Oryzias latipes: one gene and its partners. The protein of the gene in region 2 binds, or shares a complex with, the protein of the main gene of each other region. Links are inferred from orthologs where the notes say so. Each region holds a gene or a part of one and is shown on either strand. Other genes may lie near its edges.

Evidence for each region.
Region 1: meaf6 (region 2) and jade3 share a complex: the UniProt entries of both Homo sapiens proteins name them as parts of the HBO1 complex. The link is inferred for Oryzias latipes from reciprocal best matches to the Homo sapiens genes MEAF6 and JADE3.
Region 3: meaf6 (region 2) and ruvbl2 share a complex: the UniProt entries of both Homo sapiens proteins name them as parts of the nuA4 histone acetyltransferase complex. The link is inferred for Oryzias latipes from reciprocal best matches to the Homo sapiens genes MEAF6 and RUVBL2.
Region 4: meaf6 (region 2) and ing5 share a complex: the UniProt entries of both Homo sapiens proteins name them as parts of the HBO1 complex. The link is inferred for Oryzias latipes from reciprocal best matches to the Homo sapiens genes MEAF6 and ING5.
Region 5: meaf6 (region 2) and brpf1 share a complex: the UniProt entries of both Homo sapiens proteins name them as parts of the MOZ/MORF complex. The link is inferred for Oryzias latipes from reciprocal best matches to the Homo sapiens genes MEAF6 and BRPF1.
Region 6: meaf6 (region 2) and ing3 share a complex: the UniProt entries of both Homo sapiens proteins name them as parts of the nuA4 histone acetyltransferase complex. The link is inferred for Oryzias latipes from reciprocal best matches to the Homo sapiens genes MEAF6 and ING3.

Annotation. Positions count from the first base shown.
Region 1 is NC_019862.2:28,223,620-28,228,820, reverse strand, and holds the start of jade3 (protein Jade-3), read right to left. Parts: upstream 3,256-5,201; 5' UTR 3,043-3,255; intron 797-3,042; 5' UTR 728-796; intron 632-727; 5' UTR 621-631; coding exon 572-620; intron 497-571; coding exon 414-496; intron 319-413; coding exon 161-318; intron 72-160; coding exon 1-71. UniProt on the Homo sapiens protein: Scaffold subunit of some HBO1 complexes, which have a histone H4 acetyltransferase activity.
Region 2 is NC_019869.2:19,900,096-19,905,139, forward strand, and holds the start of meaf6 (chromatin modification-related protein MEAF6), read left to right. Parts: upstream 1-1,543; 5' UTR 1,544-1,687; coding exon 1,688-1,777; intron 1,778-2,978; coding exon 2,979-3,094; intron 3,095-3,181; coding exon 3,182-3,269; intron 3,270-3,345; coding exon 3,346-3,391; intron 3,392-3,476; coding exon 3,477-3,666; intron 3,667-5,044.
Region 3 is NC_019872.2:21,690,530-21,695,569, forward strand, and holds the start of ruvbl2 (ruvB-like 2), read right to left. Parts: upstream 3,103-5,040; 5' UTR 2,993-3,102; intron 2,221-2,992; coding exon 2,166-2,220; intron 1,995-2,165; coding exon 1,939-1,994; intron 1,500-1,938; coding exon 1,358-1,499; intron 1,260-1,357; coding exon 1,130-1,259; intron 1,053-1,129; coding exon 986-1,052; intron 881-985; coding exon 774-880; intron 666-773; coding exon 572-665; intron 1-571. UniProt on the Homo sapiens protein: Possesses single-stranded DNA-stimulated ATPase and ATP-dependent DNA helicase (5' to 3') activity; hexamerization is thought to be critical for ATP hydrolysis and adjacent subunits in the ring-like structure contribute to the ATPase activity.
Region 4 is NC_019862.2:3,235,920-3,240,900, reverse strand, and holds the start of ing5 (inhibitor of growth protein 5), read right to left. Parts: upstream 3,129-4,981; 5' UTR 2,801-3,128; coding exon 2,764-2,800; exon of another isoform or gene 2,683-2,763; intron 2,623-2,682; exon of another isoform or gene 2,434-2,622; intron 503-2,433; coding exon 431-502; intron 263-430; coding exon 96-262; intron 1-95. Other genes in the region: plekhb2 (pleckstrin homology domain-containing family B member 2), read left to right, coding at 3,585-3,621, 4,030-4,182, 4,278-4,380, 4,480-4,519, 4,726-4,809. UniProt on the Homo sapiens protein: Component of the HBO1 complex, which specifically mediates acetylation of histone H3 at 'Lys-14' (H3K14ac) and, to a lower extent, acetylation of histone H4. Component of the MOZ/MORF complex which has a histone H3 acetyltransferase activity.
Region 5 is NC_019865.2:17,244,674-17,249,077, forward strand, and holds part of brpf1 (peregrin), read right to left. Parts: coding exon 4,256-4,404; intron 2,506-4,255; coding exon 2,203-2,505; intron 2,082-2,202; coding exon 1,830-2,081; intron 1,730-1,829; coding exon 1,582-1,729; intron 1,448-1,581; coding exon 1,314-1,447; intron 1-1,313. UniProt on the Homo sapiens protein: Scaffold subunit of various histone acetyltransferase (HAT) complexes, such as the MOZ/MORF and HBO1 complexes, which have a histone H3 acetyltransferase activity.
Region 6 is NC_019881.2:24,132,844-24,137,843, reverse strand, and holds the start of ing3 (inhibitor of growth protein 3), read right to left. Parts: upstream 3,428-5,000; 5' UTR 3,336-3,427; coding exon 3,308-3,335; exon of another isoform or gene 3,251-3,307; coding exon of another isoform or gene 3,250-3,250; intron 3,167-3,249; coding exon 3,095-3,166; intron 2,146-3,094; coding exon 2,045-2,145; intron 1,968-2,044; coding exon 1,902-1,967; intron 1,644-1,901; coding exon 1,547-1,643; intron 1,480-1,546; coding exon 1,408-1,479; intron 1,322-1,407; coding exon 1,205-1,321; intron 1,122-1,204; coding exon 958-1,121; intron 875-957; coding exon 687-874; intron 622-686; coding exon 432-621; intron 356-431; coding exon 317-355; intron 243-316; coding exon 126-242; 3' UTR 1-125. UniProt on the Homo sapiens protein: Component of the NuA4 histone acetyltransferase (HAT) complex which is involved in transcriptional activation of select genes principally by acetylation of nucleosomal histones H4 and H2A.

The DNA of each region.
Region 1 (5,201 bases), on a different chromosome or scaffold from region 2:
CCTGACCCGAACACTGGATGTTCTTCCTCTGGTGGCTGAAAAGCATTTCTTTGGACTTCTCTGCGATCACCCTGAGAAATTAACAACAAATGTGTCAGCAGCCTTGAAAGGAGCCTTGATCCGGTTTCACGCGGAAGCTTGCTAAAGTCGGCCCACCCACCGGACTGAGGGTTCCGGGATGGTGTCCGGACTCGCCGGCACCTGAACTCCTTTCTCCCACTTCTGCTTCCAGGTGTCTGCCAGCAGGTAGAAGTCCTCTGGGGAGATGTGGTGGGAGTCGGGCAGCTTCATGGCACTGATCAGGTCTTTTCGGAACACCTGTGGGAGACAGGAGGCCACCAGGAGTCAAGCCCACGGTCCTGAGACGTCTCCACAGTGAGCGTACAGTCTGACCGTACAAAAGATGCCCATACTTCAGCCGGTTTCTTTGGGTTGGAGGCGGGGGTTCCAGGTTTGCTATCATACTTGTTAGAAGAGAAGTAGGAGGTTGAAGGACCTAGACGAAGACCCAAAAGTGTAAATAATGTTGGTACATTAAGAGAAAAAATGCTGTCCAAGACACGTGACCTACTTTCATTGTCAGAACTGTCGCTGCTGCTGGACAACCTGAGACGTTTCATCCTGTAACATCCTGTGGGAGAACAAGAGGATGGAGCACACATCAGAAGGCCGTCACTGACCAAGGAAGGCCATGGAGAGACTGTTCAAGAAAAAGACCATTGCTTACCATAAATTTCCAATTGAAAAGCATGCTAGTAGATTCTTCCAGTTGCCAAATTCCCACTTTGCTTCTTATCTGCAAAAAAAGGGGAGTTATTTTCAGAATAAGAGCATCAAAGAGTTAGTGATGACAGTTCTGATGACCATGTTCTTGTTGCAGAATCCTCCCAAAAAAAGACAATTAGATACTTTAATGTATAAAGAAAAAGGAATGCAAGTACGAACTAAATAAAATATATATATAGACATCATTCGTACACCTGTAGCCCAATAAATGAGTGATTTAAACTTCAAACTGCTAAGGGCCGTGTACAGTACACCGTTTGAACAGACAGGACATGCCTCACATTCCCCATGAGGAGTGAATGAGGAGGAAGAGGACGAGGAGGAGGATGAGAGGGCCTGCAGCCAGCTCTGCTCCACACCGCAGTAAGGTTATACTGCTGAGTAAAAAGTACGCATGGACAGTTTTCTCTTTATACATGTTTAACCACGACTGGTGTTCACATCTGCAGGAGGTAAACAGGAGAGGATTTGAAAAATCCAACATAAGTTTCAAGCAAAGATCAGGTCAACCATACATCCTCTACATAATAACGCAACACTGTGGCTTTTTTTTCCAAGATGTAAATGAATCTGGAGGACGCCAACCTGATTTTGATTTGTCATGTTTGTTTGTGTCTTTGAATTTGTTCAAATGATTCAATAAAAACAACCTAAATCTGAGTAATATCTCACTAAGTATTAATATATAGTAATTCATAATATAGTTTTTGTTGTTAGAACGATGACGACGTGTTGATATAATAATAAAGCTGAAGTTTAATGGTTAATTTTGATCCTGTTGTTAAAATGTGTTATACAAAGGCTGAAAAAAATCCCTTTACCTGCCTTATTTTAGCCTAGATATTTACTGAACTGCATGTTTTCTCCTTTTTGTTTTTGTTTATTTGGGTAGATTAGAAAGTTCGAATATTAACGTCTGGTCTAAATGCCAAAGTGCCCTTGAGCCAACTCACTTTGCTTCCTTTACTCATCAGACTTTAAACTCAAGCTGGAGATCCATCCAGTCCATTACACCGTCTTTAAAAATATTAAAATTTAAAAAGATGTCCTCCATAACATATATTAAAAAAAAAAAGAATAATAATCATAGTTTAAAAGGATGCTTGATTTGTCTCATTGTCAAAATTCAGAAAAAAGGAAAGATATGTTTCAATTCAAGGAGTCTGGATATGGAACAATTTAAAAACAAGCAAATAAAAAAACAGAATCACACAGTCAAAAAAAACTTGAATTGCTACAAATATAGAATCAATAAACCCTATGACTTAATTCCAGGAACTCAAATATAGAAATAAGACATAAACTTGCCAGTGACTGTTATTCTAAACTGAATGAAGTCATCCACAAGCACACATATACACTATATTGCCGATATGCATGTATATATTTATATTTAGTACCTTTTTCAATTACTTTTTTTCACTTTTTATTTGCTTTTATTCTAAGTATTTAAAGTATAAAATATAAATATCTTTTCTCCTTTCGAATAAGAATAAGAGAAGTTTTTTTTTTTTAGAAAAGAAAACAAAAAGGAGATCTAAGAGTGACAGATGTGCGCATGCTCCAGGCGAAAGAGGGATCAGCCAGATAATACTACGGGGCCGAAAACTTCACGGTAAGGACCAGTAATCAGTGTTGTCACTAAATTAATGATAAACTTTGCAAACAGAACAAAAGCTGCGGGTCAAGAAGATGTAAATTTGTTGATTTAGCTTCTTCAATGATCCCAGAATATTTATCAGCACATCAAAGAAAGCCAAAAACAGTAGGAAACTAATGATGCCGCCATATTTAAAACTCCTTTTGTACACCATGCGGGCGCTGATACCGCATCTGGATAAGTAAACTTTAATGGAGTACCAGTGAAACACGTGGGGAAAAAAAGTCTAAAGTTGTTGCTTTATGAGCAGTATTGGCGCCAACTCGCACGCTGACTCAGCCTCGCGCGGGCCCAAAGCGGGCTGAAATCAAACATGGCGCCACCGTCATACAAAGATGTCACTTCCGAGCGACGGCGAGCCAAACATCGGGATGGCCCAACTAGGAGCGTCCCACAGAGGGGGAAAAACACATGGCTACGAACTAAAAGAAAAATAGGTGGTTGCTAAAATACATCAGGAGTGTCGGGACGCATAGCAGGTTTGGGGGAGCAGGGTGAGGAGCGGGGCCCCGTGGTCCGGATATGAATCCGGGGCAAATCCATGCCCGCACACAGAGTAGACACGGGCATATTGTTCACATTCACCCCCGTCCTACCTTCTCTCCACGCGCTGCGGCTGGCCTTTTCCACGTCCACATGCGGTCAGGTGGACCGTGCTAACAGATGCTAATAAAAGGAGGGCCTCCCGGTCCGGACTGGGACTTCAATGCTGGATCTTTTTTGGGTCCAAATCCAACAGAAGGGGAATCTTAAGGCAGCAGCCTGTCCACCAACACGGCACAACGACACTATTGTGCCGCGCCCCCTCCAGGTCCTAAACTCCACCGGTTAACAACAATCTCTTTCTATGGATATTATGGATATTAACTTTTGTTAATAAAGTTTTCTTTAAAAAACACAACAGCTCTTATTTATTTTAATATGTATCTACACAAATTAAATAATGGATTAGCAACTGCAAAGACGATCAATAAAATGTTTGATTCAATAAAATCTCATTTTTTATATTTGCTGTTTATATTAATCAAACTTCCACAGCTTTAGGTTTAAAAAAAAAAAAGGCCACAAAAAGAAAATCACTGTATTGCTAAACCAACAAATTAAGTTATTCAACCATTAAATATTTACATATGTTTTAAAATAGATGCATAATTCTATTTATATTGATTAAAATGGCTGAAATTGACCTCAGAAGCTTTTTAACAGGGCAGGTCTCAAAAATAAAATACAACCCTTCCTTTTGCCCAGAAAAGCGTTTTAGATGTCTGTTCTAGTTTACTTCAGCCATTTTAAAAATATATATATATATTACAATGATCAATATCTCTAAAGAGGATTTCATCATAGTAGTAGGTTTAGGGGTTGTCATCTGGACTTAAGGTTTTTAAAGTCAGAAGACGTTTCACCTCTTATCCAAAAGGCTTTGTCAATTCTGAATTGACAAAGTAAAACTAAACCTACTACTATGATGGAATCAACCTGGATGAATGAGAGTCTACATAGACACGTCTAAAGATGATTTATATAACGTAATGACAATCTGTTGTTGACTCCAGATTTATCATAGACCACCACATTGATGTTTTCATTTGGTTTCTCTATTTATAACAGCGTAAAACACATGAACTTGTACAAAACAATGGATGTTACATTTTTATACAAAAAAAGAAAAACAAAGTATAAAAGAAACATTTTAAAAATAATCACAGGCTCCTTTTGCTAAAAGGAAACATTCAAACATTCTTGATTTGGCTTATCAAATCATCTATACAGCAAGTTTCAAATATGCACAACATAATGCCACAAAAGTTCATTTATCCAAAAAAGAATTAAAAAAAAAAAAACAACTACAAGTTAAGAAAAGACAAATATGAAAGTATTTAGAGATATGTGTACAGAAATCACAGCTCGTCCAAAACTCATCTCTGCCTTCATTGTTTTATCCATGTGCTATGTGTGTTTTTTTTTCCATTTCATTTGTCTTTAGGCAGGAATGTTTAGGAATTAAAAAACTAAATTACAGCAGAGTTTCAATGAACACCAACAGAAAAAATCAAATCCTTTTAGAAGAAATAACCATTCACAGTAATGTTTGCAGCTAAGATTCAAAGTGTACATACCATGATTGACGGTCTAGACAGAAAACTTTTGTTTTGATGAATATATATATAATGTGATTGCTGATAATGTAGAACAACAACAACAAAAAAACTCCCTTTATGTTTCCACATGTAAAATACTCCTCCTGAATCCAGATAAGTACAATTTCATATCACAGATTTAATAAATGCATGTTTGCTAAAGTCATATTTATCATTGCCTCTGATTGTAATGGTAGTATATTTAAGTGATGGTTGAGTTTTAACAAAAAAAGAGGAAATAAATGTGAGTCAGAGACTCTTTTAGATGACTCTCTTGACTGGCATTTGGCTAAAGTTAGTCATTTACCACAGTATTTTGTCCAATCTCAGCCCTCCTGTTGAGAAGAACAAGCTGAGAGCAACATTAGATACACGTTATGCACAGAACTGAGCATCAAAATGAGGAAAAAACGCAGTCTAAAGGATTTATTACCTGTCGCACGATTTAGTTTGTGTAATTCAGAAAATGTTTTCATAAGAAAAGCCAGAGCTGCTTCAGGGGTCAAAGGTGTCTCTGACATTCGAGGGAAGGTGGCCAGACTGGTTTGAGTTAAAAGAAAGAAAAAGAATGGCACTGAAGACACCAACCCTATAAAAATGATGAGACTTGCAGA
Region 2 (5,044 bases):
GCCCTTTCAAGCCATTGGTAGGACTTCTTGACATCCGCCACTTCAGTTATGCTCCGTAGGTACATCCCATGCAGTCCTCCCATGAGGATCTGTCCTCCACTGCTTCCTTTGCTCTCCATTGCCTGAGACATTCACTGAGCACACTGTCAGTTGGGGCCTTGAGCTTGATGTATTCATGCATGTTGGATGTTTCATCCTGGATAGTGGCTTCTACGCTCACTAGTCCTCGGCCTCCTTCCTTGCGGCTAGCATACAGTCTCAGGGTGCTGGATTTGGGATGGAACCCTCCATGCATGGTGAGGAGCTTTCGTGTGTTAGCATCCATGGTCTGTATCTCTTCCTTTGGCCATCTTATTATTCCTGCAGGGTATCTGATTACTGGCAGTGCGTAGCTGTTTGTTGCCCGAGTCTTATTTTTGCCATTGAGCTGGCTTCTCAGGACTTGCCTTACTTGTATGAGGTATTTAGCTGTTGCAGCTTTCCTTGTTGCCTGCTCCAGGTTGCCATTTGCCTGCGGAATTCCAAGGTACTTGTAACTTTCCTCAATGTCTTCCATTGTTCCTTCTGGGAGTGGGACCCCTTCTGTGTGGACTACTTTGCCTCTCTTTGTCACCATCCGGCTACATTTCTCGAGCCCGAATGACATCCCAATGTCAGTACTGTAGATCCTGGTGGTGTGGATCAGGGAGTCAATGTCACGCTCGCTCTTAGCATATAGCTTGATGTCATCCATGTAGAGGAGGTGACTGATGTTGGCCCCATTTCTGAGTCGGTATCCATAGCCAGTCTTGTTGATTATTTGGCTGAGGGGGTTCAGACCTATGCAGAACAGCTGTGGGGACAGAGCATCACCATGGTATATCCAAAATTTGATGGACACTTGTGCAAGTGGCTTCCCATTGGCTTCATTTCCTATGAAGAGTCCTTTTGATGTTGTACAGCTCCAAGCATTCAGTGATCCACGTGTGTGGCATTGAGTCATAGGCCTTCTTGTAATCAATCCAGGCTGTGCACAGGTTGGTGTGTCGTGACCTGCAGTCTTGAGTGACTGTTCTGTCAACCAGGAGTTGGTGTTTGGCTCCTCTGAAGACTCTACCAATGCCCTTCTGTGTGTTTGCTCATGTATTGATCCATGTGCCTATTTATCTTGGTTACAATGATGCCAGACATGAGCTTCCATGTTGTGGATAGACAGGTTATTGGGCAATAGTTGGTTGGGACTGCACCCTTTGAGGGATCCGTCTAGATCAGGATCGTTTGCCCTTCCGTTAGCCATTCGGGTGAGTCCCATGAGCAGCTGGTTCATTTGTGCTGGCAGACGCTCGTGGAGTGCGGTGAGCTTCTTTAGTCAGTAGGCATGTAACATGTCAGGGCCCGGTGCTGTGCAGTTTTTCATACCTGAGACTCTTTCTTGTATGTCTGCCACTGTGATGGTTACTGGATTCTGTTCAGGGAGGTTGCTATTTTCTTTTGTCAGAGAGACCAGCCACTGGGCATTACTGTTATGTACTGTCTCTTTCTTCCATTTACCTTTCCAGAACTCAGTTCAAGTATAAAACAAGGTAGGAAGAGGGTCCTTTCACAACGCTTGGGCGCCACCTTGCGGTCTTATCTTTGTCGGCACCAACGCGTCTCCAGTTTTCCTGAGCGCGCGCGCCTCCTCCCGTCGGTTCCGGAACGAGCCATCATGTCGATGCACGCGAAGGCGACCCCGCCGCAAATCCCGGACACGCGTCGGGAGCTGGCGGAGCTGGTGAAGAGGAAACAGGAGCTCGCCGTGAGTCCGCAGTTCTGTTTCAGCGGGTTAAATGTTTTTTTTCGGAACCCGGGTTTAGCGCGCCAAGCTGAGATACCCGAGCATTAGCTTATGCTAGCTGAGCTAGCAGGCCGCAAAACCTTTATTGTGAATTGTCCTAACTAAGCATCGACCAAGAACAAAAACACTTTATCCTCACATCGAAAAAAACATTTAAAGTTTGTGTTTCTGCGTTTCATGTTTGAATGTTTTATTTTTTCACGTTTTTTGACGAACAAAATCCAAATTAGTTTACAGACCTGAAGCACGAACAGTGTGTTCTCGCGATACCTTACGTTTTGAAACTCTTTATTGTTCAACACCGTTGTTTACAGAGTGGAACCTACTAAGATTTAGTAGTGAAAAACCAAGTTACAATCGCGTTACATTTCTGTCATAGGTTATTTTTCTTATCTTTTTGCGACTTTTACTGTTTTCATCTCTAGTTGTGCTTCTAGTAATACTCTAAGTAATGGAAAATGACCTTTATTGTAAAGTACTAGTGCGTCACTTAAAATTACTTTTTTTGTCTAACATAAAACGTTTAACAACAAATTTGCTTAATTACCCAGTACTGTAGTAGTAGTTTTTTTGGTTTACATACTCGTTTGGTTTACATACTCGTTTTTTAACATGTTGTTATTGTTTGGACGACTACTCTTTAACTTTTGCCTCCTTAACATTATTTAAAATAATGTTTTGCTTGTACTTGAAAGATGTTTCCCGTCAATTTATTGACCTTTATTGACAATAACAAGCGTCAAATTCAATTAAAAAGTCTCAAAATGGAATTTTTCTTGAATTTAGTTGGAATGTATAAATGCATGTATCCATCATCTACCACTTCAAAGATAGAAAATGTTTTTCTAGTTGTATACTGACTCTGCAGTCTTGTGGATTTCTATAAACATTGAATTTAGTTCATAAATTGGAAAATTAGATGATTGGGTTGATCAACTAGGAAGAGAAAGACCAATTCTGGAGCTGAAAAATTCAAAGTTTACCTCAAGTGGCTAAATAATGAAACAATCTTTACCAGAACCTCAAGAGGATTTTCAAGTTTTTGATGGTAAAAATAAATGAATGAAATAAATTTTAAAAAAGCTATCTTTGTGAAAAGATAAGCACTGATCTTAGCTTGACCAATCAGAACGTCTGCAGTAAAACCGTTTTAACGACACAGGAGACGCTGGTGAACCTGGAGCGGCAGATTTACGCCTTTGAGGGCAGCTACCTGGAGGACACTCAGATGTACGGGAACATCATCCGAGGGTGGGACCGATACCTGACCAACCAGAAGTGAGTGTGAATGCGGCAGACTCCGGTGAGGTTAGATCTTCTGTGCGTTTGCTGATCGGGTCCTTTTCTTTTTCTGCGATCAATCAGGAACTCCAATAGTAAGACTGACCGGAGGAATCGCAAGTTCAAGGAAGCGGAGCGTTTGTTCAGCAAGTCCTCTGTCACGTCCGTCGCAGTAAGTACTTCCTGCGCGTGATGCGTTCAGCCATCTCATGTGAAGTTGCTCCTCAGTGGTCTCTTGTGATTGGCAGGCAGTGTGTGCGCTCGGCGGGATCCCGGATCACATGAACGAGAAGCGTGAGTCAAATTTGCCTACTTTCCTGGTGCCTGGGCCTCCTCAGAATGCCGGTTCTGACTTGTTGCCTCCCGGGGGATTCCCCAGGTGAGGCCGGCAGCGGCACAGAGAGCGATGCGTCTCCAGACCTTCAGAACCAGGAGAACGAGCCGAGTCAGGAGGACACGGAGGACGTGGACTCCACGCTGCACGACCTGAAGCCTCAGAAAGCCGCCTCCTCTTCCTCAGGCAGCCATCACGGGAGCTACAAGAAGAGGAAGAACAAGAACAGACACAGGTGAGGTGTGGGCGGGGTTAAAGCTGAGCCGCAGCAGATTCACCAGAACTTTTCTGTTTAAATTTGGAGATTTACAGCTTTAACAAGGCAAACTAATATATTTGTGTTATTAAGATCAAGAGAACAGATTACACTTAATAAAAATTACAATAATTGAACATTTTTACAAAATATGGTGATTTTTTTTTTTTTTTTTTTTTTTTCCGTCTTCTTCTGACTAAAAAAGTTGAAGTAGAAAACGTTCATTTCCTAAAAAAAATGCTCGTGTGATTGCTGAAGCTGGCTACAGATGATGATGATGATGATTAGGGCTGAAACGATTCCTCGAGTTACTCGACTTACTCGATTACAAAATTTCCTCGAGGAAAAAACTCTGCCTCGAAGCCTCGTTACATTCCTATGACGCGCACTATACGCAGGGATTTGATTGTGTCACACGGACCTTTTGAATTTAGTTGGCGCGATGGCGGAGAATAGATCTATAAATAAACGGCAGAAATTGTCTTAAGTGTGGGATCATTACACACTTAATAAAGAAGAGAACAAGGTGCAGTGTCTGTACTGCAAAATAGAGCTGGCATTCCACAACAGCACATCTTCCATGATTCAGCATCTGAACAGAAGACATCTGCGCGACCGCTGGAACCCCGACGCCTTACCCGCGCGTGCCGCCGGCAGCGAGCGAGGGGCGGCGGGCCGTGGAGGGGGCGCCGATAGGCAGGGGCTGGGACAGGCGGTAGCTCGCCTTTCGGCGGACCGCAAGGCTTCTTAACATTTGCATCAGAGCGGATCTTTAAAATCAAATGCTTGTTCATTTTACAACCACATCATTTTTGTTATGCATTATTTGTTTTGGTTGTTCAAAAACGCACACAAATCGTTTTATCCGATTACTCGATTAATCGATCGATTAAGTGCTATATTAATCGATTACAAAAAGAATCGATAGCTGCAGCCCTAATGATGATCATGATGAAGCACCGGAGGATCTTTTGAGGCTGAAACGTTTGATTTAAAAAAAAAAAGATAACTTGAACGAATGGACTGGGTTGGATCTTCATCTTCATCCTGTGGTTGTGTTCAGTAGAAGCAGGAAGATCATAAAATGTTTGATATCAGATGAAGATCTTCTGAATCTGGACTCTTAATTGATCACCTTCAGACTGTTTCTTTGCAGGAAGCCTCTCCTCTTCTTGATGGTTCTCAGCTTTTGTTTTTCATTTCTTCATTTTCCTTGACTTGACTTTTCTTTTTCTCTGTTCTTTTTATCTCCAGATTTGTGTGTGTTTTTTTGAAGTTCTGCTCATTAAAAAAAAAAAAAAAAAACAGATCAGCTGGGACTCCTCCACTGATCCCAAATGTCCCGTCGAGCTTGTTG
Region 3 (5,040 bases), on a different chromosome or scaffold from region 2:
AACCCAAGATTTTGAGATTAACCAGTTCTGAAGTTACATTTTCAAGTACAGTGTTCCCTCATTTACCGCTGGGGTTACGTTCTAAAAATAACCCACGATAGGTGAAATCCGTGAAGTAGGATTACAGATGTTTCAAGGCCGTAAACCTCCTCACTACACACTTTTTACACTTTTCTCAGACAAACATGAACATTTTCACACTTGTCTCTCTTGTTTAAACTCTCAAAGTTCTGTTTTATAGAATGAAAACAAAGATCTGATTGTGACAAAAGATTGATGTAACTCTGGTAAGATGAGCACATTGTGTAAAGAACAGAGAGGGGATTAATTGACAAGGTCAACAGCCAATCAGGACGCACAACACAGTGCTGTAAAAAGAAAAAAAAAACGTGCAGAATTGCAGTAAAAGAAAGCGAAAGGTGAACTGTGATATAGCAAGGGAACCCTGAAATCATAGTATTCATTATAATCTTCAAGTGATAACACTTACAGAGGCTTCAGGTGGACTTTGTATTTGACTATAACCCAAATTCAAAGTATGGTATTCAACTGTCCCATGCAGAGATCTTACCTGGGCTCCCATGGCGTCGTAGTCTCTGGCTCTAGTGAAGGAGCGCCCCAACTTGGAGATTTTCCCGGTGGCTTTGTCAATGGTAATAACATCACTAAAAAGTGTGTTTAAAGACAAACAAGAAAAGCTCCATTTAGATAGGACTGAGAAAAAAACAAAACCCAAACCTTTATATTGCTTTATGAGGAGAAGATGAACTCACCCGGCTTGAACTTTCTCTTTACTGAGGCTTTCAATCATCTTGTTCCCCAAGTCATATATTGTCTCCATCTCTGTAGTCTTCAGAGTCAGCTTCCCCACCTTTGCACCCTGATTAAAGCAAACCAGCTCAACATGAGGCGAATCAGCTAAATAAATCAACGTTTTCTAAAGCTATGGTATGGAAAGACTGTTTATGAAGTGAAAGGATCTTACTGTTCCAGTGGCGGGTCTGTCAATCTGGATTTCTACCACCTCCCCTTCAATGATTTCTGTCTCCTCTCTGGATTTATGGGGGGGAAGAGAGCGGACTTAATTTCTATCCAAAAAAAACAACCTAAACCTTGTTTATATACTTACTTGATTCTCACTCCTATAGCTTTTCTAAAAGCTTGGCTCAGTGCTTCAGTTTTGCTCATTTCCAGGGAAAAGATCTCACTTCCAGCCAGAGCTGTAAAGGGGGTGTCAGGGCCCAAAGACTGAGCAATACCTGTAGATGAAAGAAAAACATGCAACAAGCCTCAAATAGCCAACAGAACTTTGCCTCAGGTGGAAACTTGTATGCATCATTTCTGGTCCCATGCTCACCCATAGCAATAGCCGTCTTCCCCGTGCCCGGCTGGCCAGCAATCAGAACGGCCCTGCCGGCGATGTGTCCGTCTTTGATCATCTCCAGGATTATCCCTGCTGCTCGACGGGAGGCCAGCTGGCCGACCATCCCCTGTGACACCTGCAGGTGAACAGGGAACTCAACTCGTTCAGCAGCAAATATGCCTCATTCGGATTTTATCCTTTGACTTAAGGGACATTTTGAATGCTTTAAACAAGCTGCTAAAAGACTTTCCTGTTGGAATCACAACATGTGGGTTTAGTGCTGACAACAGGGCTTTAGAATCAAGTCTCGCTTTGCTACTTGACTACCTCTATACTGCTTCATGTTGTTTCCACACACAACAAAACATTAAAAGGTACATTCGAAACATTTTAACCTCTCAAGTTTAACAGCAGTTTAAAAATATCCAAATATGTTTTCCTCTGTTAAGTTTTTGCCTTTTTAAAGGACATGAATTACAAAAAAAAGCCATAATTTTATCAAAACTACAAACACCTAAAACTACTGAAGTCTTGGGTCAAAACAGAGATCAACAAACAGAAGTGCTGCACGTTACCTGTCTGGGCTCCAAAGCATCGTCCAAACCAAGGCCCCGAATGTGAGAGTGGGCCCCTAACCACACAAAGATGAAACTATTACACAAAATATTACAAACATACGGGAAATCATAGCAAAAATAAATACACACAGCTCATGTAGAGATAAGGCATGTTCTAAAGTTTACCATTCAATTTAAGCTTACCATTTATTTCTAAAGTGTTGAAAATCTGCATGGGGTCTTACCTATTCTTTCAATCCGTGTAATGTCCCGAACCTCTGGCACTTTTGTAGTTGCCATCTGTAGAATAATACATCAATGACAAGAAGAAAACAAAAAAATGCAAAGAAACATTTTTAAAACAATTTGCCTCATCGTAAACAAAAGAACAAATATTTTCAGAGGAGTTTAGGCCTTCGTTGATCTTTGACTAAATCTTAAGAGCATTTTTTATTGTTTGTTTAAAAATCCTGCTTATGAAAAAGAACAGCAAGAATTCCTTATGTGTGTGTTCAAATATCGATGACACTTTTGGATGTTTATCGTTTCCAAAGAGAGTTAAAATTTGCATCCTCCATTCACCAATGTTTTAGTGTTTTCCACATAGACTTTGTCAAAGCAATATAAATGTGGAATTCCTTTTATGCTCCACTTGTCCTGTCCGTTGTCATAGTGACAGCAATGAATGACCACACACAACACAACAGCAAAGCTTAGTCAACACTCTTTGACATTTTAAAATATATATACGCATATTTGTGAAACATATCTAGGAAGGAAAGTATTAGTAAATCAGGTTTAGAAAAATTGACACTTCACTGAAATTAGTTTATTTTCTAATATGAATACGGGGGGAGAAAATCGACAGGTAACATCAGCTAACGATATTAGCAAACAAGCTAGCATCATTCACACCGTTCATAACGCAAAACAACAGCACACGCCATATTAGCCGGGTAATAAAAGCCTGCATGACACGCGGAAGTACTTAAAAATAAATTGGCTATACTACTTGGGTGAAAATATTAAAGTCCAAATTGATTTTAACATCTACTACAAACTCAGGACTCACCTCCGCAGCCACACTTAAAAAACGTGAGAAGCGCCGCTTCTTTCTCAGGGAGTACTGGTTAAATGTGTCCGACAAGAAACATGCGAAGCCGTTCAGTTCCGCTACTAGAGTTTATTGGGACTGCCCTCTATAGACTCAAATGTGAATTACAAATCTGGCGTAAAAGCCCGGATTTGTTTTTGAGATGAAAGCTACGTTTTTGTCTTGATCGTCACGATAATGATAACCTGAAAATACTTAAATACTTCGAAATTATCTTTCTGTGTGTCAAATTTACTACCTAACAAATAATGTTTTTGGCATTTTTGATACCTATAACTATTAGAACTGAAATTTTAAGCATTCAAATACAGATTAAAGATTAGAAAGAAAAATAAACTCAGGTTGCTAATAATTTAAGACCTGGATTGCAGTCATCTGAACAAAATAAAACCAAGGAATCTAAAATTGTAGTTTAAAAAAATACTTTAAACTTAAAGAAATGCATAAGAAAACGTCACATTTTAAACAACTTATCATGCTGTTACCTTGAAAAAAAGATAATTAAACCTAAAACATCACAAATATTCATATATTTATTTCCCAACAAATGTAAAAATATGATCATGCATTAAAAAACATGTACTCCCTTAATATGCACTGCTTTTATAATGTGTGCTTGAAGTCCTTATGGTAATTTTCTCTCTTTATCATGACTTATATAATCCATAGGTGATCTCCTGAACCAAAACTGGTCAGAGAAACTAAGAGGTTTCAAAAACTTTCCATTTTGACCCAAAAGAAACCCTGTTGGTTTGCAGAGGATGTGACTAAACCTGATTAGTCTGAAGAAAAGCCCAGCAGCACTGCACAGATTTTTCCACTAGAGGATGCAAGATTAATGTTGTGCAAGGATCCTCATATAGACAAAGTTATAGTAAGAGATCTACTAATAAACCAAAGTTATAGGATTGATGACAGAAGCCACATGAAACTAAATGATGCTTGTAGAGATATTTCAGTTAGAGGGAGTAAGTGTAAACAACCCCTACATAAGGTATGAAGTGTAGGAATGGGTGTTGTTTCTTATTATTTACCTTGTAAAAAAACTGCATCTCCCTTTTTTATTTGCCAAGTCTGAGGATAATCTCTTTATCCTCAGAGAAATTGTTGAAAATGTTTAGACGAAATAACTCGAAGGAGCAGACCCCTCTGAAGTGCTACAGAGGGGGTCTTAATATCCTTTCCATAAATCATCAAATTCAACCCTCAAGGCTGAAGGGTTCCAGATCATAATGTTTCATTCAGGAAACAGATGGATGCTGAAAATGACAGGTTCTTCAAGACTGAAATGAAAGAGACAAGGATGAAGCAAACTCATCGTTGTTTCATTTCAGGCGTCAGTTGTTGGGTGTGGCAAACAAGTTCAGCAGCACCCACTTGAATTGCTGAGAGGCACTCACAAATTGCATTTTTTGTGTAGACGGACCAGAGTCCGTTGGGTTGAGTGACTTTGGAAACACTTCATGGAGCAGCTCTTTTGTCTTTTGTGCCGTTTTAGGTCCAGATGTCGATCTTTGCTTAAATCCAACTATTGGAGTTACTTTTATGAAATCCTTTTACGACAAATTAGTCTATCATCAAGGCACTGCTGATTGTGAACTGTCAAAAGACAATGCCTCTGTCATACAGTGTAGGAGTGGTGGCGGGGTAAATTCCTGTGACTTGCCACAGAACAGGATGTTCCCCGAGATCGCACTTCCTCCAAACAGGCAAATGAGTGTGAGGTCCTTTCCGTACGAGGTTCAATTTCATGTTAAATCTAGGTGTGTCTAGTAGTTCTAAATGTTACATTTTTATACCTGATGTTCATGTTAGTGAGCAAAAAGGGACAAGAAGCTGAAAGTTGTGGTAAAATAAGTTTTACTTAAATAAAAGGATGAAAAATCACAGCATGAAACCAAATGTTTATTGATAAAATACAGATACAAAATGACTAAAATAGGTTTGAACTGCAGTAAGTTGTTTTCATCTTTTCAAACTTTACATTCATTCAAAGATTATTCACA
Region 4 (4,981 bases), on a different chromosome or scaffold from region 2:
AGAACAGAAGAAGACGTCTTTCAAACGGCTCTGTTCACAAGGCATGCTTGAGAGGAAAAAGGTGGCGTGTTGTCAGGCGTGTCATGAAGGCTCACCATTTCATACGTTTGCATGGCGAGCTGAACTTTGTCGTCACTGAACTCCTTGCACTTGCTGTAGGCGTTCTGAATCTTCTGTAGATGTTCCACTCTCTGCTCTGAAGCCAGGTTCTTCACGTTGGATATATATTCTTCTGCCAGTCTGTCAATCTCTCCTTTCTTTTCTGCAGAGGAGCAGAAATGTTTTGAGCCACAACGACGGACAACTCAAAGGAAAGCAGAAAAACCTCTATGTCTACCACAGATGATGGGTTTCAGTGAAGAAGCCATCATCTTCTAAAAGTTCCTTTTCTGTCGCCTTTGGCTAAAAGGTTAATGGATAAAACCCCTACCTTCAGTTCTGCTGTCCAGGTCCCGCATTAACGTGAAGTTCCTTTGCAGCTCACACGGCAGGTTCTCAATACCTGGAGAAGTAAACACAGGGAGACATGGGATCATGACGCTGGACAGACATTGGGTAGTTTCCCCTGGAGACATGCCTGTTCTGCCCCAGAACAGCCGGTCACCAAATATAACAGATAGTATCAAATAGGGCTGCACGATATGAGGAAAACCCGCAATATGGGATATTAGTGATCAATATTCGATGACGATATAACTTGCGATAAATGAACAAATAGCAAAACAACAAAAACGTTTCCATTTCACTGCAAAGTATAATTTAAATAAGGGTCAAAATACCTCAAATTATTCTCCAAATGACCTTCGTCTAATTAAGAGGGCAACATCTAACATGAAAGCTCCATCTGATTGGTCAACAACAGGAAGGGCTCCATCTGATTGGTCAAATGGATAAAGAGATTTATTCAATTCATTAAATAGTTCACGTTGCCATAAGATTGTTTTAGCACATTTAAGGTTTACCATTTATTGAAATTGTCGCTGACTTTTGCGATATGGATATTGCACAGCTTGAAATCACGATACATCGATAAATTTGCGATTAATTGGCATTTTCCACCAGGACTCAGGAAAACGAGTAAGAAATAAAGAAAGATCCGCCACCAAAAACATGTTTTCAAAGACATTTGAAGTTTCAAAGGGATGTATACATCAGTGTGTTATGGCTTCTCAAACAAGCTGTAGCTGAAAGACCACGCATAGAGGTTTATGTTGACGTCTGGATTCTCTTCTTTTATTGGTTAAGTGCTATAAATAAACCCATTATTTTCCTGTTTCTCTTTTTTTCTTTATCATAGTATCTTCTGACATTTTTGGCCGCTTATCTCCTTCTACAATTTTTCAGCTATTTTAACTATTCAGCTCTTTCAGCTTTTTCCAGTTATGACTTTTGGTCCTTCAAATCCTTGAACTTTTCCAGATATTCCATGATTTTTGCCTCCATTGAAATACATGGGGAATCCTGGGTGCAGAAACTTGTCTGGCATTTTTCACAAAAATATCTTTATTATTTTGCCGTTTTTACTTTACTTATGGTCAACTTTGAACATTTCTTTATTTAATTTTTTATTTTGTGCCCATTCTTACCCTTTTAGTTTCATTTTCATTAAGCAATATACGTTAAAACCTTGCATTTTCTTCTGGAAATGCAGCTCCTTCTGGCTTTCTCTAGTCTTGCTCTCTAGATCAGTGTTTTTCAACTTTTTTTGAGCCACGGGACACTTAAACCTTGACAAAAATCCCGCGGCACACCAGCATCCAAAAATAAAGAAAAGGGAGAAACTCTTAGTCTGTATTGATGTACAGTCCCTCCACAATCTCACATGCATTTCTGTGATAATTGTGGCAGAAAAAGCTGGAAGCTGCAGCTGTTTCTTCTAAAAGATGTAATAAAAGTTAAGTTAAAATATTTAAAAACTGTTTGATGCGTGTTCGTTGTGGTTTCAAGACGTCAAAGGCTACGTTCACACCACAGACTGAAACGACCCAATTCCGATTTTTTTGCCCCCCTGTGACCTGTATCTGATCTTTTCATGACAGTCTGGACGACGCAGATCCCATCTTTTCAAATGTGACCCAGGCCCCTTGGGTATGTGGTCCTGAATCTGAGACGTATCCGATCTTTTGAGCTGAAATCCTGGAGATGGTAAATGTTTTTAGATCAGTGAATGAGGGCAATTTCCCACGGCACACATGACCATCTCCCACGGCACACTGGTTAAAAAACGCTGCTCTAAGGATGTAGGTGGCCCCTGTTCCACATCATGGTCGTGCTCAGCATGGTGGGGCTGACAGGATGCACAGCGCTCTAGCGCCACCCAGCGTCAGCTGGAAGGGCTCGTCTGCAGGGCGTGGAGTCAGGGGGGCACCGGGCCTGCGCAGTAACCAAAAAGGCGGTTTGCACAGGCTGCACATCATGAAGTCCCGGCAGCAAACGGAAGCGCCTTCACGCGGGGTTGAAAAACAGTTCTTGAGTTAAAAATCCCTCAATAATAAAAATAGATAAATAAAAACGTGACTCCAATGGAAATACTAAACTAAAAGGGTTTCGTCTCAGTATATTTCTGCTCCGGCGTGAATCTGTGAAGCCATCACAAGTCAACCCAAGTGACGTCACAAACATGTACGTATAATCAGTTTAGGTGTGCTACTACCACACACTTTAGTCTTTACCGTCTGCTAAACTACCCGCAGCCACACGGCGACGAAAAAGACCGAAGAAGCCCGAACCAAAACTCCTCCAGGACCTTCTACGGATACTCACTGTCAAGGTAGTGCTCCAGGTATATAGCAGTAGCCATTGTTGACGGAGAGTTCGGCTCCCGCGCGCTCTTTAGCTTCCAAACTACTAGCCAAACCAAGCTACGCTAAGTTTGTTTTGTAACTCCGGGTCGCCCGTCGGTCCCTGTCGTTGTAGGACTTCCGCTCCGCCGCCGCTCAAACTTTTCTCTTCCCGTCTCGTCTCCAGAGCATTCGACTGATTGTAGTTAGACGGTATTTCCGCAGACAGTCGACCTGCGCTCCGCTCCAAACACCGGGAAACCGACCGAAGATCTGGCAGCTCCACCACCCCGCAGACCAAGCGAGACCTTCACATGCGCGTTCCCGCTCAGATTACCAGCACTTTCCAGCTCGGTCAGCTGGTGCGTTGCGTCATTCAAAACAAACGTCTCGGTGGGCGGGGCTCCTGCAGCCTCTCTGTCCGTCCGTCCGGTCCGGCTAACGGAACAGGCAGGTCCCTCCGTCCGCTCCAGAAGCTTCTCATCTCGTGCTGGTTGCAAATTATTTTTTGCCTTTTGACGAATTGTCGAGTCACACGCGCGGTTACGTACGTACGTCAACCATATAGCATCTATGACTGCTTGAGCCTCCAAACTGTTTTGTTGGTATTAAATTTACGCTGCGGCTAAAATGCGGCTTTGGGGAAATTTTTCTGCATCTAGTAGAATGTATGTAACATGTCAAAGCGGAAGTTGTAGCTACTGCTAACATATTTCAGGTCACATCGAGCCTTGTTGTCGATTTAGTCCGTTTTTGGGGTTCTGCTGAGTTTCACTTCCAGCATGTTTGGTTGTGTCTTCTCAGATGGCTGTGGTGAAGAGCGGTTGGCTTCACAGACAGAGTGAGTCACGCGCATGCGCGGCCTATGCAGGTCATCCCAAAGAGCAGCTAGACACATTGAGTCACCTATTTTGGAACTGAAATATTACAAAAAATGTTTTATACATTTCAACGTTGTTTTCAAATTTCAGATGAAAATTAATTTATTATATTTGGTAAGTTTGATATTCACAAATCTAAAGTTTCTAAAAATAATCCCTGTAACAACAAAAGAATTAGAATCTTATTAGAACAAAACAGTAATAATTAAATATTGCCCTGGAACATTTTTAATTTTTTGTGATGTATGTTTTGTAATGCATGTGCATCCTCATTGTTATTGTTCTGTATGTTTTGGACAATTAGTTATATTTAATTGTAATAAAAAAGAGGTTCAGATGCTGATGGAAGCTGCTTCTTTTCATCGCAGGTACTATCCTGCGCCGCTGGAAGAGAAACTGGTTTGACCTATGGGCTGACGGACGCCTGGTGTTCTACAATGATCAGCAGAGGCGGGACATGGAGGATGACATCCACATGAGAGTCAGCTGCATCAACATCCGCAACTCTGCTGCATGCCAGGGTGAATTTCAGCATCCGCGATACTGTGACAGTTGCTGACCCTTAAAGTTAAACGTTGAGTTTTTTTATTGTGGGCCTTCCTGCATTTCCTGTCAGATCTGACCCCCCCGGAGGGGAAGTCCCGTGATGCCTTGCTGCAGATAGTGTGCAGGGACGGGCGTGTCATCAGCCTGTGTGCTGACAGTGCAGATGATGCTCTGTAAGACTCTTTAGGTGTCACCTTTGATCAAATGTAGTTCTTGGGTTCTGTGGAGAAGCTTTTAGTGAGACTGACGTCTTTTCCTGCTTCTTAACACAGAGCATGGACCATGGCGCTTCAAGATGCCAGGATTAACATGGTAAGATTTTTCATCGTCTGATACGTTTAGACTCAAACTAAGCTTGATTTTTTTTTTTTTTTTTTATTTGATCTAAAAATGAACACGAAATCAGATGGGATCAAGTGGAACAGAAGCTTGTAGTTTAGACCTGTGAGCGTTTTCTGTCTGGCGTTTCTGACAGAGTTACGGTTTAAGGGAAACCTTTGTTGCTCTGACGTGTGTAGGTGGTTGCAGCCCCGCAGGTCGGCTTCACACAGGAAGTCATGGAATCGGCTCCTCCCCCCTACTCGGAATACGCCCATCCACAGGTAAAAGGAGGAAACCACATACATTTTTGTTTTAAATCTTTATTTATTGAAGAGACTAACTTGAGGTTTACAGTCTCACAGCCAAAATTACAATTAGAACGGGCACAGAAAAAGGTAAACAACAATCACAAAATAATAACAAAAAATACAAACCTAAAAGAAGGGGGATACA
Region 5 (4,404 bases), on a different chromosome or scaffold from region 2:
TTTTTGTTATCTTTTTGGTGGTAAATCTTAAACATGGGAGCATTTAAAGCATTCGAGCAGTCTTTACGGTAACTCTTCTACTTTTAACATACTTAATGTAATTCTAGCAGATTCTGAAGAGGAGAAAGAAGCCTGATGCTTCACACTTAACAGCAGTGACGTGCAATCAACGTAAACCAGCTGATTCTGTCACAGAGGAAAGTGGCTTTGCGCCGTAATGCAACATTTTACATTAGCAATGTGTTGAATATGGGTGCAAAGACGATATGAAAAGCTGCTATTCAAAATAAACTGATTCATGTTGATCGCGTGATTTGTCAAGGAGTTACGGTATGTCAAAGAGTGTGTGCTATTTAGGAGTAACCTGCAACATCTCCAGTGTTAAAGCCTTCATTTAGTGGTAGTGGGAATGCTCTGTTGTTGATCTTCTGACTAACATACTGCTAGCTCATTTGGCTACTCTGCTGCACAACCTGCTGTTTGGTTGCACATGCGAGTCATTACTTTGATGTGTAGCTTTAAATTTTGCAATAAAAAGCGTTGCATGGAACTATTTTCATTAACACTGAATGATTCTAAAATAAATACGTGTTTTGTTTTAGCACATTAAAAAGATTAAATGATGTCTCAGACATTTATCCGTTACAATCACAAAAATCTCTATTTAAAAGCAGAATGCAGGAAAACCCATAAATGAATTGAACACATACATCATGGCTAAAACAGGAAATAAACCATGACTACGTTTTCATGTTAAAGCATTTCTGCCAAATCTAAGTTTAATGAGAAACAGAAGCTGGACGGTCTGCTAAAACCCAATCAAAACGCCAGGTGGTAAGCAGGTCATCAGGTGTTTGAGTGGCTTCATAATCTACTCAGGTGAGGAAAGGACCATCTGGTCCTCAAGAACTTCCTCCCTGCCTGTTTTCCAGTTCTCCCTGCATCACTTGGTGCTAAATCAGTCCAGGTTTAGATGGACTGAATGCTCCTGACCCAACAACAGTAAAGGCAAAGACAGCTAGAAGAATAGTTGCCACTCTGGAGAACCAACGTTTGGCATCTCCACTCGCCAGTGGGAATTTTATTAAATGTAAAAAGATTTGGATTCTCACTTAACCTTGAGGAGAGGCAGATTTTGATGTTTATTTTTCTATACAAGCATCGAATTCTGAAGTTAGAGACAAGTGGTGTCAGACATGAAGTCACATACAAAGGCAGTACTAGAAAGAATGGTTAAATGAGATAAGATCAGGACTCAAAATAAACGCCCACACTCGCACTGTGCGGCTTTGTCTGTGGGGAACTAAGCTTACAATGTGAGACGCTCCGCGATCCTCCAACAGAGTATGAATCATTTTCAGTGCCGGAAGTTTCCTCACTGCTGTCCTCATGGAAGGCGGAGCGTGGAAATGATGCCTTTCCTCTGCCCTGCTTAGACGGGGTTGTGCTGAGACAAAAACACACAAGAATATCATTACCAGTTCAACACAAACGAACAAATAAAAAGCCTACTTGTTTGCTCTGAAACTACGTCTAATTGGGGGTCTCTTTGACTGCAACAAAGGGTTTAAAGCAAAGTACCTGGTCCTGTCAGATGCTGCACTGCTGCTGCTGCTGGTTGTGGACTCAGAATCTGAGCTTGAACGAGGGAGACGAGACTCACTTCTGTACACACGGAAACTTTCCGTCACAGGCTGGTTTCCTGTATCAAAGCCGTTACTTGGTAAACCTGAGAGTAAGAGACACAGACAAGAAAGTCAGTGTGGGACTTACAAATGAAACACTACAAGCATGAATTTTCTTTTTTTGGAAAACGGCCTAGATTCTACCTGGGAGCAAGTCGTCATTGTCACTGTCGCTGTCAGAGCTGGAGCTGGTGTGGGGGCTTCGGGGCCTCTTCCTCGGCTTGCCCGTTGGCAGTAAAGCCAGCTGTGGGGGGCCGATGGGGCTTTGGCTCACCCCAGCACCAGGATAGCCAGCATCCCGGTTCTTTGGGGGACGCCCTGGCCTTTTGGGGGGTCCAGCCATTTTCTGGTTCTTCTTAGAGAAAAGGACGGACGTCCTACGTCCAACCTCTGGTGCTAGAGAAGAAGAAGATACAGTTAGGTCCTATTGCACAGACACAAACGAATGTTCATTTTTCTGATAGTCAAAATATTGTGATAGTGTCTGAGCATTTTCAAAACATGCTCAGAGACTGACCTTTTCCTCCAATTTCTTGACTGCTGCTCTCTCCACCCTCATCATGGTGTCCTGCAGAAGATGAGTGATGAGGGAGAGACAAGCCCCGGTCACCCACAGACTCTCTGACCCCCATACCGGAGCCTCCCTCCCGCTGATGCGCAAGCTTCCTCTTGATCACGCTGATCTCCTTTCTTAGAGCTTTGGCTCTGCGAGACTGACCGATGCTGTGCTTTCCTGAGTTGACCTCGTCGAGGCGCGCCTGCAGGTAATGCAGCTGCTCTTCCAGAGGCAGCCGCCGCCTGTTCTCTGGCAGAAGCAGTTCTGTGGGAGGCAGGGATTGTCATAGCTTTTGAAAATCTGGCTTCACATCAAAACTGTTGAATGTGTGGAAAACAGAGAGAAAATGGCTGTTTTAGTGTAAACAACTATTTAGGTTTCTCAAAAAGAAAGAAAAAACAAATTGTAAAAATTATATTTTGTGTTTTTTAGGAATATACAGTAAAGTGAATGCAGTTAAAAAAACTGTGGCTGCATTTTAGGCCCAATTCAAGTGCATGAATGACATACGCCATCTATTGGCCATATGCATTCACTGCAACCAAGATTTGAACACTTTCTTTGCATCAAAGTCTGCACAAAACTGTTGTTATATCAACATTTTAACAAACAATATGTTGCAAATTGGGATACAGTGTTTTGTAATTTAATTTAATTCAGTTCATTTATAAAGTGCCAGATCACAACCAAGGTTTTCTTGAGAGACTAAAAGGGAGAAAAAATGAGCTTGTCAGCACTGTTGCCTCAAAGCCAGAATGTCCCTGGTTCAAATCCCAACTGAATCCTTTCTGTGTGGATTCTTTTCAGATAGGTTGGTCCCACAGTCCAGAACCATATTTCATTGAATATTTGGGGACTCCAAGTTGCCCCTCAATAGTACATGTGTGATATTCTCTCATGTCAGGGTCAGACCTGCCTTCATCCCATCATAGCTGGGTTAGGCTTAAGCAACAACCATAACCCCGCTTTAGGATGAAGCAGGTATAAATAGATGAATGGATTATGTAAATCAGTGGTCCCCAACCTTTTTCAGGCCTCAGAGGGGTTTAATGTCAGACTACATTTTCACGGTCTGGCCTGCAAGTGGCTGAAGTGGGAGTCCTTTTTATTTTCTTAAGCCCCCACTTTCCCTTAACTTGTGAGAGTAAAGTTTATCTTCATCTCCTATAAAATATCCGCATCTGCTTTAAACTTTACTTGTAAGCTACATATTATGTAGAAGCCATTACAATGTGATATAGATTTTTCCTTAACCCAGAAATTACAACGTGGAAGCTAAAAATCAGCTCACTTCAGTCTTATCAGACTCTTACGGTGTGATGGATAAATAAAACAAGTAAAAAAAAGTCGCTAAAACTGGTATTTTCTAAAAATAAAAATAAATCCACCACTTGATCAACTTTACAGTCAGCATCCCTGTAACATTAGACATATGGTTGCCGAATATGATGCATTTTTATGGTGTGTGAGAACAACTGTTGCAATAAATCCATATTTAGAGTAAAGACTCCTGTTTTTTTTCTGATTTCTTTAAAGTCAAAGGCGGATTTTCTGTTTCCTCATTGGCACTTTTCTGTGTTTCGAAATTCTCCAAATATGTTTATTTTTTGCTATCTTTTTATTTAGTGGTCGTTGCAGCTGCTTTCAGAAAATAGTGAATAGATTTTTTAACACGTGATCAAGCAGCTTGACATGTCTGATGACTGATTTAGATGTGGTGGGGAGAATCCAGTAGCTTTCTAAAAGAAAACTTCCTTCAAAATAAGATTATTTAAAAAACTGAGAAAATGTAGGTCATTTTTTTCCCCCACGGCTGCCTGGTACCATCTGTCCCACGGACAGCCACTGGTCCTCGGGACAGGGGTTGGGGACCACTTGTGTAAATTATCTTATCCAAATTCCTCAAAAATGAATGACCCAGATGTTTTCTACAAATTAGGACATTTATTTTTTTCCTCTTCTTCAAATGTTTTGACCAAAAAATCTTTAGGAAAAGTGAAAAAGAAGCACCTACCATCTTCATTGGAAGACAGCGTCCGCTCTCTTTCTCTGTCCCTCTCTCGTTCTCGTTCCCGCTCTCGGTCTCTCTCCTGTTCCCGACGGGTGTCTGGGCTAGTCTCCCGGTGAAGGTGCATCCCGCTCTCATAGTCGAAACCTATCCGA
Region 6 (5,000 bases), on a different chromosome or scaffold from region 2:
GACCTCCACACAAAGGTCAGACGGCTTGATGAAAGCAAGAACAGTTCAGATCAAATAGATCATCTGCTTCAAGCTCTGATAGAACCTCAGGACCGGTTCTGCTGCAGTCCGCTAATCTCCTGTGTCTATTTGTGGCGGCTGCCCCTCCTCTTCATGGCGGCCGTGCACTGTGGACAGTACCACTTCCCTTTGGGCGCCTCGGTCAGGCCCACACAGCCATAGTGGAACCACTCGATGGGACACTGAGGAGGAAGAGGACATCCTTCAGAACCGCCTTTCAACCAGGTTCCAGAACCTCACCAAAGCTCATACTCACATCTGTGTTGTCACAGCCAACCATCTCCCCATAAGACACCTGGACGAGATCCAACAGGAAGCAGTTAACAGCGGAACCTACAGGAAGTGACCTCACAGCGCGGTAGCGGGCATACCTGGTTGCAGATGCAGTACCGGGGCTCGTTGGGGTCGTAGGTCCAGTCCACTTGGCTGTTAGCCTCAGCTTCCGGCAGCGCCGACGCCTGCTGAGAGAGCTCCTGAGCCAGTGCCGAGGAGGAGGAGCAGGAGGACAGGGAGGAGGAGGAGGAAGAGGAGGACTGGTGACTGGAAGACTTGATGTTGCTCCTGGAAAACAGGGACTAGAGGTCAGACGGGTCCGAGACACCTGCGGTGGGACGGGGGTAACTTACTTTGACTTCCGACCTCTGGAGTCAGAGGTGGTGCTGGGAGTGAGCGTCTGGGTGAGGGTGGAGGCCAGGGCGGAGGAGGAGTAGGAGCCGTCCCGGGACACGGAGAACTCTCGGCCCAGCTGGAAGTCGTTGTTCTTGATGGCCTCGTAGCTGGCTTTGAGGCTGGAGGTCCGGCGGCCTTCCTTCATCTGATGGGACGGAACAGACGGGGGATGGAGCGCCACCAGCGGGGCCGACATGCACGATTTTAGGATGGGGGTCGGGTTCTGACCTGGGCTGTGGCCTGTACGGCCTGCGCCGCCGCCAAGGTGATGGCGCCGGCGCCGGCCCCGGGTCCTGCGGGCAGAGCGCTCAGGTTGTAGGAAGCCAGGGGCTGAGAGGAGTTGAGGCTGTAGGCGCTGTTGGTGGATGCAGACATGCTGTTGGTGCGGCAACCTAGGGGGCAGGAGGGGGGGGGGGCAGTTAGCTGCGTGGAGGCTCCGCCCTCCAGCTGCATGGCTGTTATCTGCAGATGCTACCTGGCGTGTTCTCCTTGGACGGATCCGAGGTGAGTGTAGACAGCAGAGCCTCAGACTTGAACTTCTTCTCAGGAATGTGCTCCACCGTGTGGTGGGCGGGGGCGCTGCACTTCCTCTCTGTGGACAGAGGACACGGTGACACGTGAACCTGCTGCAGAGGTCCTGACATCACGAGGCGGAGCTGAGGGCGTGCAGCAGCTTACTCTCGGCTGTTATGTGCGAGTGCATGTGATGGTTGTTGACCGGCTGGGAGGGACTGTCCATCTCCAGTGACCCTGAGAAGAGCACAAGGTCACCGCTCTGCCTTTCAGCCCCAACGAGTCGCTCTGGAATCGAACTCACGTCTCTCCAGGATCTCTGTGATGCCGGCATTGTCTGCCTCCAGCTCCATTTTGAACTTGGCCAGCTCCTGGTCCAGTTTCCGCAGGTGCCGGTCCACCTGGAGGCAGAGGAGACAACAGGTCACATGAGCTTCTGGACGCGGTGCAGCAGGTAGACCCGGTCCAGCTGCTGCGGGGCGTCTGTTGGTGATGAGGGAGGAAAGCTCCTCCCCAGTGGTGTTAGGGACAGACAAAACTGTCAGGGAACTCCGTCCTGCTACGGTGGAACCTCCAGGCGATCCGGCAAACCCAGCTGGACCGTCACTGTGCAGGAGGTCAGAGACCATCCGGTCAGAGCGGCAGACGGTTCCACTCACCAGATCATAAATCTGATTGGCCAGCTGTACTTTCTCATCTGCGTCCTCCAGGGCCTTGTAATAATCCTGAAACACACCAGAAACAGAATCTAGATCTGACAGGTTCCTTCGGGTTCCTCCAGAACCAGCAGCAGATTCCAGACCTTCTTGATAACCTCCATTTGCTCCTCTCTCCACTCAGGTTTGTTCTTCTTTGCATTGATGAAGAAATCAATGACCCTCTGCTCCAGCTGGTCTGTGGCGTCTGAAACAAAGAGGCGGGAAAGAACTAAAGCACATGACATCAGCTTTCTGGTGCTGGTTCTGGATCAGACAGGAACCTAGAAGAACTCTCTTACTGTCTCCAAAGTTCTTCCACCTGCAACTGCATCAGAGGTCAGATCTGAGACTGGGGGGGGGGGGGTCAGTCCACCTAACTCTGACCCTCCAACAGCTAGGGGTCACAGATGACCCTGGAGGACTTTACAACTGAACTAGGGCTGCACGAGATGAGCAAAACTCGCCATTTCCAACATTACTGATGAATATTGCAATGACCATATAAGTTGTGATGCATATAGCAAACTATCTAAATAGATCATTTCCATTTCACTGCAACAGCTTCAATTAAATTTAAAGTGTACGTTAAATTACACTCCGAATGCCCCCCCCCCCCCCCCTACATCAAAGGGCTCCATCTGGTTGGTCAAATGCATTAATGGATTTATGTGATTCCTTAAATCCTTCAAGCTGCCATAAGATTGTTTGAGCACATTTAAAGTTACATTTATCACAGCTTGATATCAGGATAACGATAAATGAGTGACTGAATGTGCCTCAACTAACAAATACTGATGTGATAAAAGTTTGAACAGCAGCTGCGGTCATGACGTCAACATGAAAGGCGGCGGATAATGAAGGGATGTGCTTTGATCACCATGACCGCCTGACAAAAAGGGGAGGGGCTTCAGAATCTCAGCCACATATGCGTAAAGTGGCGCACGCAGCTCTACAAAACCTCACTTAGTGAATTATTAAACGAGCTGAAAGGTTGATAAGTTCCGTTGACGTGACTGAGGTGTCACCGGGTTCACGGACATGTCAGGTGTGTTAGCTCCGGTAATCTGGCCTTTTTTAACCGCTCGCTGGCGGTTCGAGTCTCCGTGCCGCGGCAGATGTCCCAGCCGAGCCCGGTGGTTGGCGGAAATACGTACTCTGCACCTGCAGGTCCATCTCCCGCATTTCCGTGAACCTATCGCGGAGGTCCATGGGAAGCTGCTCGATCACTGCCGGAAAAGGAAAAACACGTTAGCATCCGCTGCAGCTAGGCTAACGGAAATGCACGCGGCGGCCACACATAGACACACACTGTGCACACATAACGGGCCGAAGTCGGTACCGCCGCGACGCCCCGGTCCGGTACTCACTCTCAAGGTAATCTTCTAGGTACAGCATGGTGGCAAAGTTCGCGCTTTGGCCGTTTTAGGACAGAAACGGCTTCTTCCAATATGGCGCTGCCTCGCTGACAAAAACACTGGAAAAAAAATGAGGTCAGACTGCGCCTGCGTGACGTACGCGGCTTTCGGATTGGTTCAACAATGAGGGCGCGGTTTTTCCTGTTGTTAAAGGAAATGCATCATGGGAATAGTAGTTTAACTTGCATACTTTTGGACTTTGCACCAAATAAAGATGTTTTACTTAAGATTTTCGCTAATATTATAAACAGAAGGTGGGCTTGGCCTGAGATTATTTAGCTGCTGAGACCTTAAGCAACGGGTCTGTTTGTCTGTGATGAAAATATCAGGACAGAAACGCTGCTATAAACCAAAAATCACTTCATAAGGAAATCACCGATCTATGTTTTGCCTATCTGCACCTTTCTTTCCTTCCTTTCTTTTTAAATCTTTTTTTTTTCTTCCTTTTCTTTTAAAGTAAATTTTATGTTGATTATTTCTATGATGTATTGTGATTTTAATGCATTTTTCTGTTTTGTGAAGCACCTTGAATTACTTTGTGTACGAATTGTGCTATACAAATAAACTTGCCTTGCCTTGCCTTGGACATGATCTGCTTCCATGCCCTCACAAAGTTGAGCAAAACATCTGGAGTTCACAGCATTACTTTGAATGAAGTTGATGGTTTTCACAGTGACATCCATCACCTCATGGAACTCTGGAGACATTTTTTTTGCTGCAAGGTTTTCACGGTGGAGAAAACAATGGGTCCATTTAGCTTCTGGCGCAAGATCAAGTATCTGCTTGATGACACCGCGATGCCTGCCAGTCATTGACGCTGCGCCATCACAGCACACTCCAACACCGTTCTGCCAGTCAAGGCCATTCTCAGTGAAGTAGTTATCCATGCAGCGGAAACATTCCTCAGCTGTAGCTCGAGTTGGAAATTCTCCACAAAACAGAATGTCTTCTTGCAAAGAGCTATCCCACCGGTAGCGAACAAAAACCAACAGCAGCGCAGCATTTGTGACGTCAGTCGACTGGTCCAGCTGCAAAGAGAAAAAGGGGCTCTGTCTTATTCTCCCCAGAAGCTGCTGCTCAATGTCTGAGGCCCTGTCAGCAATATGGTGACTCACAATGTCATTCGACAGCGGGATGGTCTTGAGCTTCTTTGCTGCAGCCTCACCAATCATCTCACGGCACATGTCCACAGCGGCAGGCAGAACCAGTTCCTCCGCTATGGTGAACGCTTTCTTACTCTGCGCCACACGTCTGGCTACGAGGTAGCTGGCCTTTAACGCACACTTAGCGTCGCCAGTCAGTGACACGATGGACCCCCTCTGCATCTGAAGCCCATCATCCTTTCTTTTGAAATAATCCACTGGCTTTCCAATGAGCTTCGGATGTTTGGTTTCCAGATGGTGCTTTAATTTTGACGGTTTTAGTGCTTCATTGGATAATGTTAGCCCACACTCAACACACTGGGCTCTGCCTCACTGCCTCCGTTCACAAAGCCGAACTTTATAAAATCAGGGTTGTATTTTCGTATAAATTTCGCCTTTGAAGGGGGACTGGCATAACTTTGTACTTCATTTTTTCGTTTTAAAAACTTCTCCATGTATCTGCAACTGCTTTCTTCACTCTTGTAATCAGGATCTCCCATTTA